Astyanax mexicanus: one gene and its partner. The protein of the gene in region 1 binds, or shares a complex with, the protein of each later gene. Links are inferred from orthologs where the notes say so. Each region holds a gene or a part of one and is shown on either strand. Other genes may lie near its edges.

Region 1 (7,069 bases):
TACAGGACCTCCTTCTCATCCTTCTCACTGTAACTTCGAGACTGGACTGTGTGGCTACACACAGGACAAACACGGTGATGAAGCAGACTGGGTTCTGGCTAAAGGCCCGACACCAACATCCTACACAGGACCAATAGGAGATCACACAACTGGAGTTGGTCTGTTATCCATTTTTTGATTAAACACTCAGATATATAAACATCTCTGGAAAAAATATTAAAGGTCACCTTCCGCGAAAATCCGATTTTTCTTGTTTTTTGTGGAATACAGTAGGTCTCTCTGAGTTGAATGTGTACACCTGCACATTAAACTGTTTTGCAGCCCCCATTGTCTGCAGGAGCTAAGCAAAGAAATCCCCCCTCCCCCCCTCGGGTGAATTTTGAATTATCTTTCTGCCTACGTAGGCAGAAACTCACAGACCAGCCCACCTTGGCTCGAGAAACTCCCAGAGGCGGAGCTGAAGCGACGCAACATCACCGCTCATCAGTTAGGAGGTGGGAGGCAGTGAGCGGCAGAGCGGTGGAGGGGCGTCGCAGTGCTCCTAGCCAATCAGAGGAGAGATATTTGCATGCTGTTTGCATGTATGAATATTCATGAGCAAAGCTGGAATCCGGTCATTTTGGACACACCCCTAAAACAGTCCATTAAAAAAGAGCTATACAGAGACACCTGAGCACTTTTTTTTTACAAAAACGGCTCACATGTCATTCATTCAAACTAGAGACCACAACTAGACATTTTAAAATGAAAGAAAAAACGACGGAAGGTGAGCTTTAAGAGACCACTTTAGTTTCTGAATCAGTTTTCTCTGATTTTGCTATTTGTAGGTATATATTTGAGTAAAAATGAACATTGTTGTTTTATTTATTAACAATATGGCCAACATTACTCCCAAATTCCAAATACAAATATTGTCATTTAGAGCATATTTTTGCAGAAAATGAGAAATGGCTGAAATAACAAAAAAGATGCAAAGCTTTCAGACCTCAAATAAAGCAAAGAAGTAGATCTTCAAAAAGAAGTTCATCTTCATAAAGTTTTAAGAGTTCAGAAAGCAATATTTGGTGGAATAACCCTGGTTTTTAATCACAGTTTTCATGTGTCTTGTCATGTTCTCCTCCACCAGTCTTACACACTGCTTTTTGGATAACTTTATTCCACTCCTGGTGCAAAAATTCAAGCAGTTCATCTTGGTTTGATGGCTTGTGATTATCCATTTACCTCTTGATTATATTCCAGAGCTTTTCAATTTGGTAAAATCAAAGATACTTTTTTCCAGAGCTGTATATATTTCATCTAAATGTTATTAATCATCTTTTTACTGTTTACTCTTAAACCCATTGTTTTGTACTTCAGAATTCTTGCTTGAATTACAGTCCAGTCTGTTTTTCTCATCCAAGGTCACTATTTGCACATCGAGGCCTCCCAGATGTTTGCAGGCCACAGAGCGCGTCTGGTCTCCAGCGTTCTCCGCGGTTCTAAAGGTCCACAGTGCCTGCAGTTCTTTTACCATATGTACGGCTCTGGCACAGGAACGCTGAGCGTCCTGCTGAGCTCAGATCTAGAGGAAGAAGACAGGGTCCTGTGGGTGCACAGCGGAGAACAGGGCATCTCCTGGGTTAGAGCATCAGTGAGCTACCAGTATGATCATTCACACCAAGTAAGAAAACTTAGTTACCCACAATCCACCAGTGTTCATACTTTCAAAGAGATCTTATTTTCATGTAATTGTTACGTATCTTTCTTCTTCTGGTTCAGATCGTTTTTGAAGCTCTCCGGGGGCCGTCTCTACGAAGTGATATTGCGATTGATGACATCATATTTCAAAAGGGACCCTGCAAAGGTATTCCTCGCATTAATGATACACAGATTATAATATGCCTTTTAATCTAAGGTGATATCATGTGATGTCATTCCCAAACTTTAATTATCTCATTTCCACACATAAGGAAATCGTTCCCAAGCCTTAATATTTTGTTCCCACGCATTAGGAATTTGTTCCCAAGCCTTAGTTATCTCGTTCACACGCATTAGGATCTTGTTCACACGCCTTAATTATCTCATTCTAACACATTAGGGTCTTGTTCCCAAGCCTTAATTATGTTGTTCCCACGCATTAGGATCTTGTTCTCAAGCCTTAATAATTTTTTTCCCATACATTAGGATCTCGTTCCCAAGCCTTCATTGTGTTGTTCCCACGCATTAGGATTTTGTTCCAACACCTTAATTATCTCATTCCCACACATTAGGATCTTGTTCTCAAGCCTTAATTATTTTGTTCCCACACATTAGGATTTCAGTTATTAAGTTGGAGCCACGCATTACTTTTTTTTAAACATGATTTCACCATAGGTTCTCCTTTAAGCTTCATTAACAATTCTACCTTTTCTGGCTAGTCTAATATTAGCAATTAGCCTACAGTCAGCTATTGTCTTTTCTCTGGTTAGCATAAGCATTTAGCAATATCTGTTACTGTCCTTTTCTGGTCAGTTTATCTGTATTTTCTAGGCGACAAAAGAAACGAATTTCAGGCATTTACAGCACTTACACATAAAATATAACAACAATATATGAATAGTTTGATGTGTTTGTCTCAATAATACTCAATAATATTAAATGTACAATATTATTCTTGGGCATCTCTAAAACACCCATCAAGGCATTGTAAAAATAATAAACTCTTTCTCTTTCCCTCCCACAGATTCTGACCGGCCAGCATCTGGAGATCTTAACAACATTGAATAAAACATTAAATACAGCACACAGAGGTTAATCGTAATTAACAAAATTTGGGGGAACACTTGAAAAAGAGGAGATGTGTTTTTTGAGTTAGTCAGTCATCCCTGGCTCCTCGCTCTTTGTAACTAACTTGAAAACAAATTTGCTATCTGGATTGGGAGATTAAAGTAGGATTTTACGAGTTTGCTTGTACTATATGATTGCGTCATGATAAAGATTTTTTAATAAAGCTCAGTTCTGCAGTATGTTTGGTTTATACATATCACTGAACTATGGAGTAGATATAGTGTTTATGGAGAATCTTTAATAAAGAGGAAATTATACTGAATTACAAATGTGTTTAAATTCTTTTTAAATACTCTTATTTTATTAGATTTTATTTTTGAACCATTTTCACCATTTCCACCAATGATAAAAAATTGAGTTTAAAACGTGATAAATAAAAAATAAAATGATTATTAAGCATTAGATGATATATGAATGTATCATGATTTCTGGAGGAAAGCTATTGGTGTATAAAATAAGCACCTACCGCCCTCTAGTGAATAAATTGTTTAATACAGTCTATTTCTGTTACATAACTTTAAATGTTGGGAACTCGCCACTAAAATAATATTCCTGCGAGTGCAAAGCAGTAAAGTAAGTCCAGATTATAAAGTCATAAAATTGAATTTTTAACATCGATTTTTTAAACCTCTCTATTAAGTTGAATTTGCGAGAAACTAGTTTTTAAATGTCTTTTTCACTCAAAATGTATATTGTCTTCTATGTTGGAAATCTGTTGGATTTTTATTTTTTTTATTCTGATTTTTTATTAATGATACATTTCAGGTACAGACACTGCTCAGCACATCTTTACCTTATAAAAAGTTCAAAGTTAACATACATAGGTTACATTATTATTATTATTATCAGTAGTAGTATAGTAGTAGTAGTAGTAGCAGCATATTATTATTAGTAGTAGTATTAGTAGTGGTAGTAGTAAATAATTAGTAGTAGCATATGGGCTGGACATTTTAACAGCACATGAAGTTATAAAAAAAGCTTAAATTAAATCAGATCATAAGGGATACAGAGACCAAAAGTATAAATTGCTTTGAGACCAAGATTGCTAAATATTTATTCGAGTAAAACAAGAGAAATGGTTTATACAGTTCAAAAACCTTACTAAAAACAAATATTTTAAATTTGCATTGGTGTATACAGAACGTATTAGATATAATAAATATAACAGTAAATTCCTGGTTTAACTGAATGTTTATCCTTGACCTGAATGAAGAGAGGGACGCGCCAGTCACGTGACCGGCGGCGGCCAATGACAGTGGGCTATGAGGCGCTACAGCGGCGCGAAACGAAAGCGGAGAGGTGCGGGAGAATGGCGCTCCAGAGCAAAAAGAGGAGAATAAGTCACATTTTAACAAACTCTCAGCTTCCCAACAGCCAGAACCTGCTGCTGCCCTGCAGCTCGCAGAATGGCAGCTTCGCCCAGGAGAACGGGCAGAGCGGCCCCTGCGTGGAGGGATCCATTCGCCGCATCACCATGCAAAACTTCCTGTAAGTAGTTAAGCTAGCGCTAGCTAAGCTAACAGGCTAACAGTGTTATACAGCAGCAGCGCTCAGATTCTCTAATATAAATACGAGTTTATTCATGATTTGTAGAGCAGCCTGTGCTGAGTATTTAAACTTCTGTCTATATATTATATTTATGGGTGATGTGTGTAACTGGAGGCGGAGGGTCATGTTTTATATTCTGGGTTGACGTTTGTAAACATTTAATGACAAGTTACTAACCTTGTTAACTAGCGCTAGCATAAATATCTATCTATGTTTATATATAACTATCTATCTACCTAAATATATCTCTATATGCATATATATATATATATATATATATATATATATATATATATATATATATATATATATATATATATATATGTATGTATATGTATATATATATATGTATATATTGCCTAAAAATTATGAGTATGAGTTTCTTTGATTTTACCAAATTAAAAACCTCTGGAATATAATCAAGAGCAAGATGGATGATCACAAGCCATCAAACCAAGCTGAACTGCTTAAATTGTTGCATCAGGAGTGGCAAAACATGATCTAAAAGCAGTGTGTAAGACAGGTGAAGGAGAACATGCCAAGATTCATGAAAACTGTGACCAGGGTTATTCCACCAAATATTGTTTTCTGAACTCTTAAAAAAAACTTTATGAACATGAACTTGTTTTCTTAACATTATTTGAGGTCTGAAAGCTCTGCATCATTTTATTTCAGCACATATGATCACTCAGAGGTTTACCCTGGACCCAACTTAAATATGATAGTGGGAGCCAATGGCACTGGCAAGTCGAGTATTGTCTGTGCCATTTGTCTTGGACTGGCAGGGAAGACTGCTATCCTGGGCAGAGGGGATAAGGTAAGCCCGATAACACTGTTTGTTCTTATTTCATGTAGACTCTTAGGAACACATAATAATATGTTTATGGGTTGTAGGTCTTCGATACCACAAATGAGCCATACATATTGAGCCGAGGTATTCAGACTTGTTTCCTGACATGGGGAGCATCAGCTCTTTGTTTGATGTTGTTTGTTTGATGAACATTATTGCATGTTTTTCATTGTATATTTGTTTTTTCAGGTCAGCTTGTATGTTAAGAGAGGCTGTCATAAAGGATCTGTGGAAATTGAACTGTAAGTATTGTCTGTCTGTCTGTCTGTCCTCGCTTCCTATCTTTAAAGATAGATATAATTTAAAAAATATAGACATAACATTTTATTTATCATTTAATGAACCATTTATTGTGTATTTTTTTGCATGTTTTAAATGTTTAAGTATTTTCTCTGGTATATATTAACACGAACAATATAAGATGTGAGCAGTTGACTAACTATTTCTTAATAGGTCCATCTCTAGGTCGTCTAATGCTTCACCCACTGTTTATTCAGGTACAGGAAAGAGGGAAACTTGGTGATTAACAGGGAGATCCATGTAGAAAATAATCAGAGCGTGTGGATGATGAACGGTAAACACTCCAGTCAGAAGGCTGTGGAAGAAGCAGTCAAGGAGCTCCAGATTCAGGTCGGAAACCTCTGTCAGTTTCTGCCTCAGGTGAGTAACTGTGCAAACTGTTCAATGTGTGTGTGTATATATATATATATACGGGCTTCTTTGAACACTTACCCTTATAACACTGCATTTCAGCGGAGTGGCTTTACTGCTCCTTAATATCAGACTGGTATAATTTATACATAAGGAGCACTGAATTATAAGGCCCACTGTCGATTTTTAGAAAAAAATAAGGATTTTAAGTGCCCCTTATAGGGCAAAAAATACTGTGTGTGTAATTTTTAGCTTGGATCAGTTATATTAAGTGTTAAGAGTGCAAAATTACCATTAGCCGTTAAATACCAAGTTTTGCCTTTACAGTGCTTTCTTCTGCTCAACAGGAGAAAGTTGGTGAATTCGCTAAAATGAGTAAGATTGAGCTTCTTGAAGCCACCGAAAAATCTGTTGGACCACCAGAGATGTACAACTTCCACTGTGAGCTGAAGACCTGTCGCACCAAAGAGAGGGACCTGGAGGTACATTTGTTGTTGTGACTGTTTGTATCAATCTGTGACAAATTGACATGCCGTGATGGTGAAAAGGAGAAATTACTTTTAGAGTAGTTGCGTTTTTACATTCTATTGTCAGTAATGTATGAATTTAGATCATTTAGAGCTAATTCTTAAGGCTATTTTGGTTAATGCATTGTTATGCATTGATATTGTCATGCAGAATGCTCTGTAGTCCAGGACTAGTTTTGAGCCCACTTCAGGGAACCAGCCCTATAAGTGTAACACAGTGTATGAGTGTATAAAGGCAGACGGTAGGCCTGTCATGGTGATTATTATTGCTTAAACTGTATAATAGTTTCAGCAATATTTGCTATACATAACTTTATTGCAACTTCATGATCATTTTATTATGCAATTAAATAACTAAAATAAAAGAAAGCATGCAGTCTGGGATTAAGTCTTTGTGTGGGTATTGTATATTTAAGGAATAATAAGAACTTGCTTTTACATTTTAAAACCAAAATAAATGAAATTTACATCTGATTGATTTAATTTGATTTGAGGGATACTATGCTTATGGGCTATTTTGTGTGTTTCTGTGTTTCTAAAGAATTTGTGTAAAGAGAAGGCCAACTTTCTAGAGAAAGCAAAGCAGAGGAACGAGCGCAATAAGGTGGATGTGGAACGGTACCACATGAAGAGGAGACATCTGGATATGATCCAGATGTTGGAGAAAAAGAAGCCTTGGGTGGTCAGT
Region 2 (7,741 bases), on another chromosome or scaffold:
GTGTAACACTATAGAAATGTCATTGATGAGCCAAAAAAACAAGTTTTTTTAATAGAAAATAGCTGAAATGGTTCAATGTTTTGGCCTTTAAATTGCTGGTTCTCACTACAAATGTACCAATTAATTTAAGCCTGTTTTATTAAGGCAATAAAGATGCTTTCTATAGTTTAATATTGAGCAATGTCTTAGAAGACATTTTTTAAAATGTCATAAAGAACTTTCCTCATAGATTTAAAGGATACTTTATTACATAAAAGTGGTTCTTTCTAATGTAAAGTACTTCACAGCTAAAAATCTAGTGTGAGGAACTTATTTTCCAACCTTAATAATGTCCAAAACATGCTTTTTTGGACACTTCACACTTAGTGTGAAAAGTTTTGTAGTTGAGCTCATTAGAAAAAATTTAAGTGAAACCAATAATATCAAGCAATGAATTTTAAGTGTTTAATTAAGTGTTTAATTTATCACAATTCACAATTTAAACACGTCTTCAAGTGTGCAACATTATGGGGACTTGTTTTAAAATGGACAATTCACATACTCATACTTTCTAATTCTATAGCCATGCTTTTTGCAATGTGTGCATCATGTGCAATCATGTGGATTTGCATTGTCTTGCTGGAAAAAAAAACAGCAAATGCATCTTTTTGAATGAATGAGTAAAATGTCTACAGTAAATCGTCGCTGTCCTATGAAAAACACTTATCTCCATTTTTTGGTAGGTTTTTAGTTTACTACATAATTTGAACAGACAAACTGTCCCTGTGCCACTGTGCCAAAATTTCTTGATGAACGGGCCAATAGAAACACTTCAAAACGACCTGAAATCAAGTCTTCTTACATTGACTTCCACTGAAAGTTTACAAGGTTTTTTCTCTCTCCTGTAAAGTTGCACTTTTTTTTGGAGAGAAGTGTTTTTAATATTCACAAATTTATTAAGTTCGTTTATTATCAGTTTTTCTTATGCAAAACAATGTAAGCGGACTAAAATTGTTTAATTGTGTATTAAATCAGTGCAGATGGTTCTGATTTTAAAGAACCACAGGAGACACTGAGCAGATACTGTACATCATCTCTCTGCACATGATCCACAAGTGTTTCAATTAGTGTGTATAATAACAAATGCATGCACTAGTGTAACTAAGCACTAAGCCAGTGAGAGAGAGAGACACACACACACACACACACTATATACAGCCCAGCAAGCCTTTTTTCCCCTCTGCTTGGCCGTGGTCCCGGCCCATCTGCAGCTTGGCTCACGGATTACTGTTTGTTAATGTTTCAATCAGCTGTGCGCCGAGGAATGTGGAGCTATTTAACCTGAACTTCCCCAGGTGTGCGCCGGCGCCACTCAGTCTGGGCCCGCCTGCCCTTCCCTGCCCTTGGCACAATGCTATCACACAAACACACACTCACACACACAAATCCCTCTCTCTCTCTCTCTCTCTCTCTCTCTCTCTCTCTCTCTCTCTCTTCCCCAGCTGTGTGTGTGCAGCTCGCCGGCGGGAGGGAGGGGGGAACTGGAACAACACAGCACGAGGAGAGTAACAGGAGGAGGAGGAGGGAGGAACTCAACTGCTGTAATTTATGGGGAGTGAAATTAACCTCCCCGCTGCTGAAACAGCTTCGCTTGTAAAGGATTTTTAGGCCCATCTATCTTTATTCTTCTTCTTTTTCTCCTCCTCAAGCAGCTGAAAAATTAGAGAGTTAAACAACACATGTGCAGGGCTGACTGACACCCGCACCCTATGGTTAATACTAGTTCTGTCGACTGATTAAAAAATGTATGAAAATAATCAAATTAATCACGACTAATCACACTTTTTTACCGCAAGACTTTGCTTCCTTAACCCTAGAACACTAATGTTGAAATAATTAGTAACACCATCACTAACGTCGGGTAAACACGATTATAACGATAGAAAATAGAAAAATAGAAAAACGCGCTGCAAATACAACCACAACAAAAAAAAACAAAAAAACAGGAGGACCAGTAAGTTTTTTGGTTTTCTCGGTCACATCACGTTCAGTAGCTCCTCCATTTCCACTCGCTTCTATATTCTAGGACCACAGAGTTTAGTGAAAAACAGTATGTAATTCAGCCTGTAATTTTCTCAGAGGACTGGATTCGTTTCTGAAAATATTACAGGCAGAACTACAATATTTTCCTACAATATTTTAAGTACTATCCAGATGCACATCTCAGAGTTTCGTCACCTCGCGTTTAATAAAATAGCTATTTGTCCACTGCTGCGCACCGTAATTAAAAATAAACATAACAACTAGTGGAAATGGAGGAGCTACTGAACGCGATGTCATGTGATTGAAAAAGCATTAAAAAAAAAGTCCGGATGCAATAGTTTTATCACTGAGTAGAAAAATGTGAAATATTTTAAACAGCCGTCCCCCTGAGAAACTAATCCTGTCCGGATAGTGCTATACATAGTATGTGCGCAAGAGAGAGAAACAGAGTTAGTGAGAGCTTACACTTGGCTATTTAAAAATGAGCAATGACTGGTTAGGGTCCTGGTCATGCAGCTTGTCATCAGCTGCCGAAGCCCTGAGAGAGTACAAATTGGCCTTGCTCTCTCCGGGTAGGTAGATGGCGCTTTTTCCACTCATCACTACTAGGGTGATGTGGATCAGCACAAGGCATCTGTGAGCGAATGTATCGGAGCCAACTATGTAATATTTATAGCCGATAGCCTTTATTATTAAGAAGTAAGAAGTATATTATAACAAAAATGTCATTACTTATTCATTGGAGACAAGACATAAATGGTGGAATTAGTTCAGTGAAGGTAGTCTACTTTTGGAAAGCTATTAAAATTGAATGTCACATTATATTTAAATTATAAATAATAAATGAGCTAAAGTCTTACTGTAGACATAGGCCATTATAGGCCATTAGGTGTAGAATCAAATGATCTGATCAGCTAGGGATGCAGGATTTTACCAAAGCTGGCCCTGCAGCATCATGAGGAGATAATTTAGGCAAAAAGGTTAAATTTCCAAGATGATATTATAAATTATGAAAACACACTAGTAACAATTAACCACATACAATAAAATACAACTGTTTAGCAACACTGAAGCAACGTCATATCAATCCCTACTGAGGCCTAGCCAGAGAATAGGCCAGACTTCAGTAGGTTGTATTGGCCTCACTGTCACTGTTAGTGGACCTAGTCTGGGTCTATAAACTAAGTCCTATACTGCCACCATGTGGAGTAAGGTTGTGTTGGGTTCTGATCAAGGACTGTTTCGTAGGATTATAAACATTTAAGAGATGAAACATAATCTACGTTTTCATTGTCTAACATGTGTTTTGCATGTGAATGATAAGAGTGTACATTTGTGTTATTAATTTTTTTTTCTTTTCACACCTCAAAGTAGTATAGTACAAAATATATAGTACAAAAAACTAATATAAACATTAAAAAACATCGATTGAAAAATGCATAAAAAGCAAACAATACTATTATTTCTACTATTACTACAAAGAAAATGTAATAATAATTGGAAAATAATAATACATAATAACAACGACAAGTAAAATGAGTAAATGTAAATATAATCAGGAGAAGAATGGATGATCACAAGCCATCAAACCAAGCTGAGCTGCTGGAGTAAAGGCATAAAGTTATCCAAAAGCAGTGTGTAAGACTGGTGGAGGAGAACATGATTTCAAGATGCATGAAAACTGTGATTAAAAACCAGAGTTATTCCACCAAATATTGATTTAAGAACTTAATAAATATGAACTTGTTTATTTTGCATTATTTGAGGTCTGAAAGCTCTGGATCTTTTTTGTAATTTCAGCGATTTCTCATTCCCTGCAAATAAATGCTCTAAATGACAATATATAATAGGAAGTTGGGGAAAAAAAACAATGTTTTACTCAAACATATACCTTTAAATAATAAAATCAGAGAAACTGATTCAGAAACTAAAATGGTCTCTTAATTTCGTAATTTATATATAAAAAGCATCCAATACTATTATGTTAACTATTTTTGCTACTGCATTGTAGATTAATACTAGGGTCATCAGAACTATAAAAAAAAATCATGGAATTATTTAGTAAATAGAACGTGTTAAACAAACCAGAATATGTTTCACATTTTACATTCTTAAAAGTAGCACCTCTTGCTTAGATAGACAGTTTTACTCATTTTAGCTGAATTTTCTCAGTCAGCTTTATGAGGTAGAGTCTCCGGGCTTTCTGTGGCTTTCAGTTAACAGCTGTGCTGAACTCATCAAGAGCTAATTACTTGAATTTCTTGTCTCTTAATAAAGTGTTTGAGAGCATCAGTTGTAAAGTAGTGAAGAGGTATATTTACAGGTATACAGTGAATAGTGTATATTTGAGTAAAGTTCTAATCCAGATTATGAGAAGCAAGCACTACTTAGCTACTAAGTAAAGAAAAAATACTTTTAAAGCTTTATCGAGTGTAGTTGCAAAGACGCTATGATGGAACTGGCTCTCATTAGGGAAAAAAAAACATTGACTGAGATTGTGGGTGCAAACTTTTGACTAGTACTGTATATATTACATATAAATAATAAAACAAGAAATAAATACATACTAATATTTAGGAAGACGCCTAGCCCCCCCCCCCCCCCCCCCATCCTGCTTTGTGATTGGCCACCCTAAATACGGGTAGGAATTATTCGCGCGGGACTGTTCTAAAAACGGGTGTGTTAACTTACACGCCGTCGCGATTCAGCCAATCAGATGCCGCGCTTAGCAACCACGTGACCAAACAGACGGAAGTTCCAAACTGCGCGGTGTGCCTTCGTTTTTAGACCTAAATATGAAGTAAAATAGTGTTTATAGGGTTTTATATAAGCGATAAACACTCTTGATTATGTGTAGCACTCTTTAGAACTAATAGTGAGGGGCTCTGTGTGAGTAAATCGGCTTTAAACGCTGTAAATGTGTGATTATTAGCTGTTAGCTGCTGTTAGCTGTTTCTAACGGTGTGTTGTTATGAGCTGCCGGAATGAGGATTTTAACTGTGATTTGAGTTAATTAGAGAGATTTTCTGTAATATCAGGGCTGTAAAAATGTCTCAGAGGAAGAGAGTGGCGCATGCTGGCTCCCAGAACAGAGTACCGAGGGTAAGCAGAGCTGGACATTTAACTTAACTACTGTTTATACCTGATAACTATTGGCAGAAATGACTATTAGCTACCTAGTTAACCCTAACAAGTCTTGACCCAAAACCCTGCTGTATAACAAGTTATTTATATTCTGAAAACTTCTACAGGTCACTTGGAGAAGCTGCCTGTTTTCTCTCTAATTTATTCCACGTAATTTCAGATTAATAACAAAAATTGATATATATAACGGTATATATATATATATATATATATATATATATATATATATATATATATATATATATATATGTGTGTGTGTGATAATATAATATATCAAATTCTACTTGTTTGAAAATAGACACAAAAACTAGACAACTGCCGCAATATAAACGGTTTCATATGTATTGAGGAAAATATTGATTTTAAAATTAAGTTCAGAAAAGCTGCAATTTTCAGATTTTTATTCACTATATTTTGACAATTGCAGATTTAAATTTGTTAAAATATATTTTATATATAAATATAGTATATATTGAAAAAAATAATTAATGTTTTTTATTAAACATGAAACCTTTTTATGTAATGTTTGTATAGAAATCCTTAAGATATAGGGGTGTGATATCAGGCAAAAACTGAAAAAAAAATGCTGGCATTTTAATTTGTTAACTAACAAGTTTTTAACAAGGTTATATAACTGATGTGTGCTCTGTACATAAAACACTGATGCATTTTTACCCTTTGAGTATTTTTTGTTCAATTATTTATTTTACATTTGACCTAGTTTATTTTTTATTGAGTGTTGGACAAAGTACCCAAACCTTGTAGTTAGTTATTATAGGTTGAGTTAAAGAAGAGTTACTGACGATATAAGATAGAAAATATTATTTCAGTAAAAACAAAAGTCTTCCCTTTAGACCTCCTCTTGAGTAAAAGTACATCAGTAACTGCTTGCCTTCAAGTGTACTAAAGTTTTAAAAAAGTAAAAGTACCGTAATTTATCATGACATTCGATCATCAGCTATTATCATTTTCTTAACAAGATTTTAGTTTAAAGAGGTGCTAAACCCCCTGACTTCACTCTCAGATCAAATTTGAAAAAGGCTAAACAATGAGAGGTGTAGTTTGGGAAGGGCACTGGGTGATGTATGGGTTTAGAAGCGGGGCACCTTTAGCATCATCCACTCCTATAGCACAGTTTAACCTGAGAGGACGCTGCAGAGGCAGAAATTACCACAATAAAAGTGTTTTTTAAACAGTGTTCTTTACTGCACTGCATCTTTATATTCCATATATTCCAGGGAGTCTCCAATGTGGGAATTCTGGGCCAGTGCTGATATCCAACTTACACATTTATAACTTATAATATTTATGATTGCAATGTCTGTTCTGCATGTCTTTAAATCTTCACAGCGCTCGCAGCAGGTGGTACTGGACGAGGATGATGATGGTGATGCATCCTACACACAGCCAACATCATCACAGGTCCAGAAGGCCAGGGAGAATTACACACCTGTCCAGGTCGATCGTAAGGTAACTCAGTCTAATTAAATTCAAAACACATACACATAGTGTGTTTTTTTTTTTTTTAATGTGAGCTTATTATGGGATGGGATTATGGTTCGGTCTCTTCTCTGTTCAGTACACTTTGTGTGAACGAAGGACTATTGCATGTAGTTACAGCACCATCATTAATAAATGTTCTGTGTTTTCTAGTGTCTTTACAGGTGCTGGTGAACGAATTAGAATAATTCTAAATAGTGCAAAACTGAAATGAAAATGAAATGAAATGAAATTCTTTGAATGCATTTTTTGTGCAGAAAGCAAATCAGGTGTTCACCGCACCTGTCCTACTCGTTAGACTAATCACAGAACTCGTTACCTGGAAAAAAAATTGCTCAGCTGAGCTTTCCAAAAGGCCCATTTAGGCCATTTAACTGTGACACTGTTGTTTTATTGAATTAGAATAATGGAGAAACTGTTTAATTGAATTAGAATAAATGCTCGAATTTTTGTTTTCTGTGAAGAGTGTTCACTGTGCAGTATAAAGTCAGGGTTGAGTAGAATTTCTAAGTTGTAAAATCAATCATGGGTAAGCAGCGCGACCTCTCTACAGGAATAGTGGCTCAAATTCAAGCCCTTCGCCAACAAGGCTTGACCCAAACTAAAATTGCTGAGCAGCTCGGCATCAGCCAGTCTTCCGTCTGCAAAGCTCTCAAGAAAAACTGCAGCAAGCGCATCAACTGTTCCGGCGTCCGAAAAACTTCTGCTCGCGACAACAAGCAGCCGGTTCAAGTCCACTTCCGAGCTCACCGACTTGTGGAACAAGCAGACCGGCGCTGACGTCTCCAGATCAACCACTTACCGTCGTCTGCGCGAACTCGGCTTCAAATCTCGCGTTCCAGCAGTAAAACCGATGCTGAACAAGAAACAAATGGAGAAACGGCTGAAGTGGGCCAAAGAACACGGCGAGTGGACTGCTGAAGACTGTCAGAAAGTGGTCTTCAGTGACGAATCACGCTTCTGCATCTCCTTCGGTGACCAAGGTCCTCGTGTCTGGCGTCGTGGTGGCAAAACCTACAACCACGAGTGCGTGAAAAGATCCGTCAAGTTTCCCCAGAGCGTTATGGTCTGGGGA

Evidence for each region. Proteins that work in one complex are often made in the same cells at the same time.
Region 2: smc5 (region 1) and ndnl2 share a complex: the UniProt entries of both Homo sapiens proteins name them as parts of the SMC5-SMC6 complex. The link is inferred for Astyanax mexicanus from reciprocal best matches to the Homo sapiens genes SMC5 and NSMCE3.

Annotation. Positions count from the first base shown.
Region 1 is NC_064427.1:23,098,767-23,105,835, reverse strand, and holds the start of smc5 (structural maintenance of chromosomes protein 5), read left to right. Parts: upstream 1-4,064; 5' UTR 4,065-4,114; coding exon 4,115-4,293; intron 4,294-5,028; coding exon 5,029-5,170; intron 5,171-5,392; coding exon 5,393-5,445; intron 5,446-5,700; coding exon 5,701-5,863; intron 5,864-6,201; coding exon 6,202-6,336; intron 6,337-6,922; coding exon 6,923-7,063; intron 7,064-7,069. Other genes in the region: mamdc2b (MAM domain-containing protein 2), read left to right, coding at 6-158, 1,401-1,660, 1,759-1,843, 2,702-2,745. UniProt on the Homo sapiens protein: Core component of the SMC5-SMC6 complex, a complex involved in repair of DNA double-strand breaks by homologous recombination.
Region 2 is NC_064420.1:45,881,273-45,889,013, reverse strand, and holds the start of ndnl2 (necdin-like 2), read left to right. Parts: upstream 1-4,737; 5' UTR 4,738-5,070; coding exon 5,071-5,124; intron 5,125-6,516; coding exon 6,517-6,636; intron 6,637-7,741. UniProt on the Homo sapiens protein: Component of the SMC5-SMC6 complex, a complex involved in repair of DNA double-strand breaks by homologous recombination. The complex may promote sister chromatid homologous recombination by recruiting the SMC1-SMC3 cohesin complex to double-strand breaks.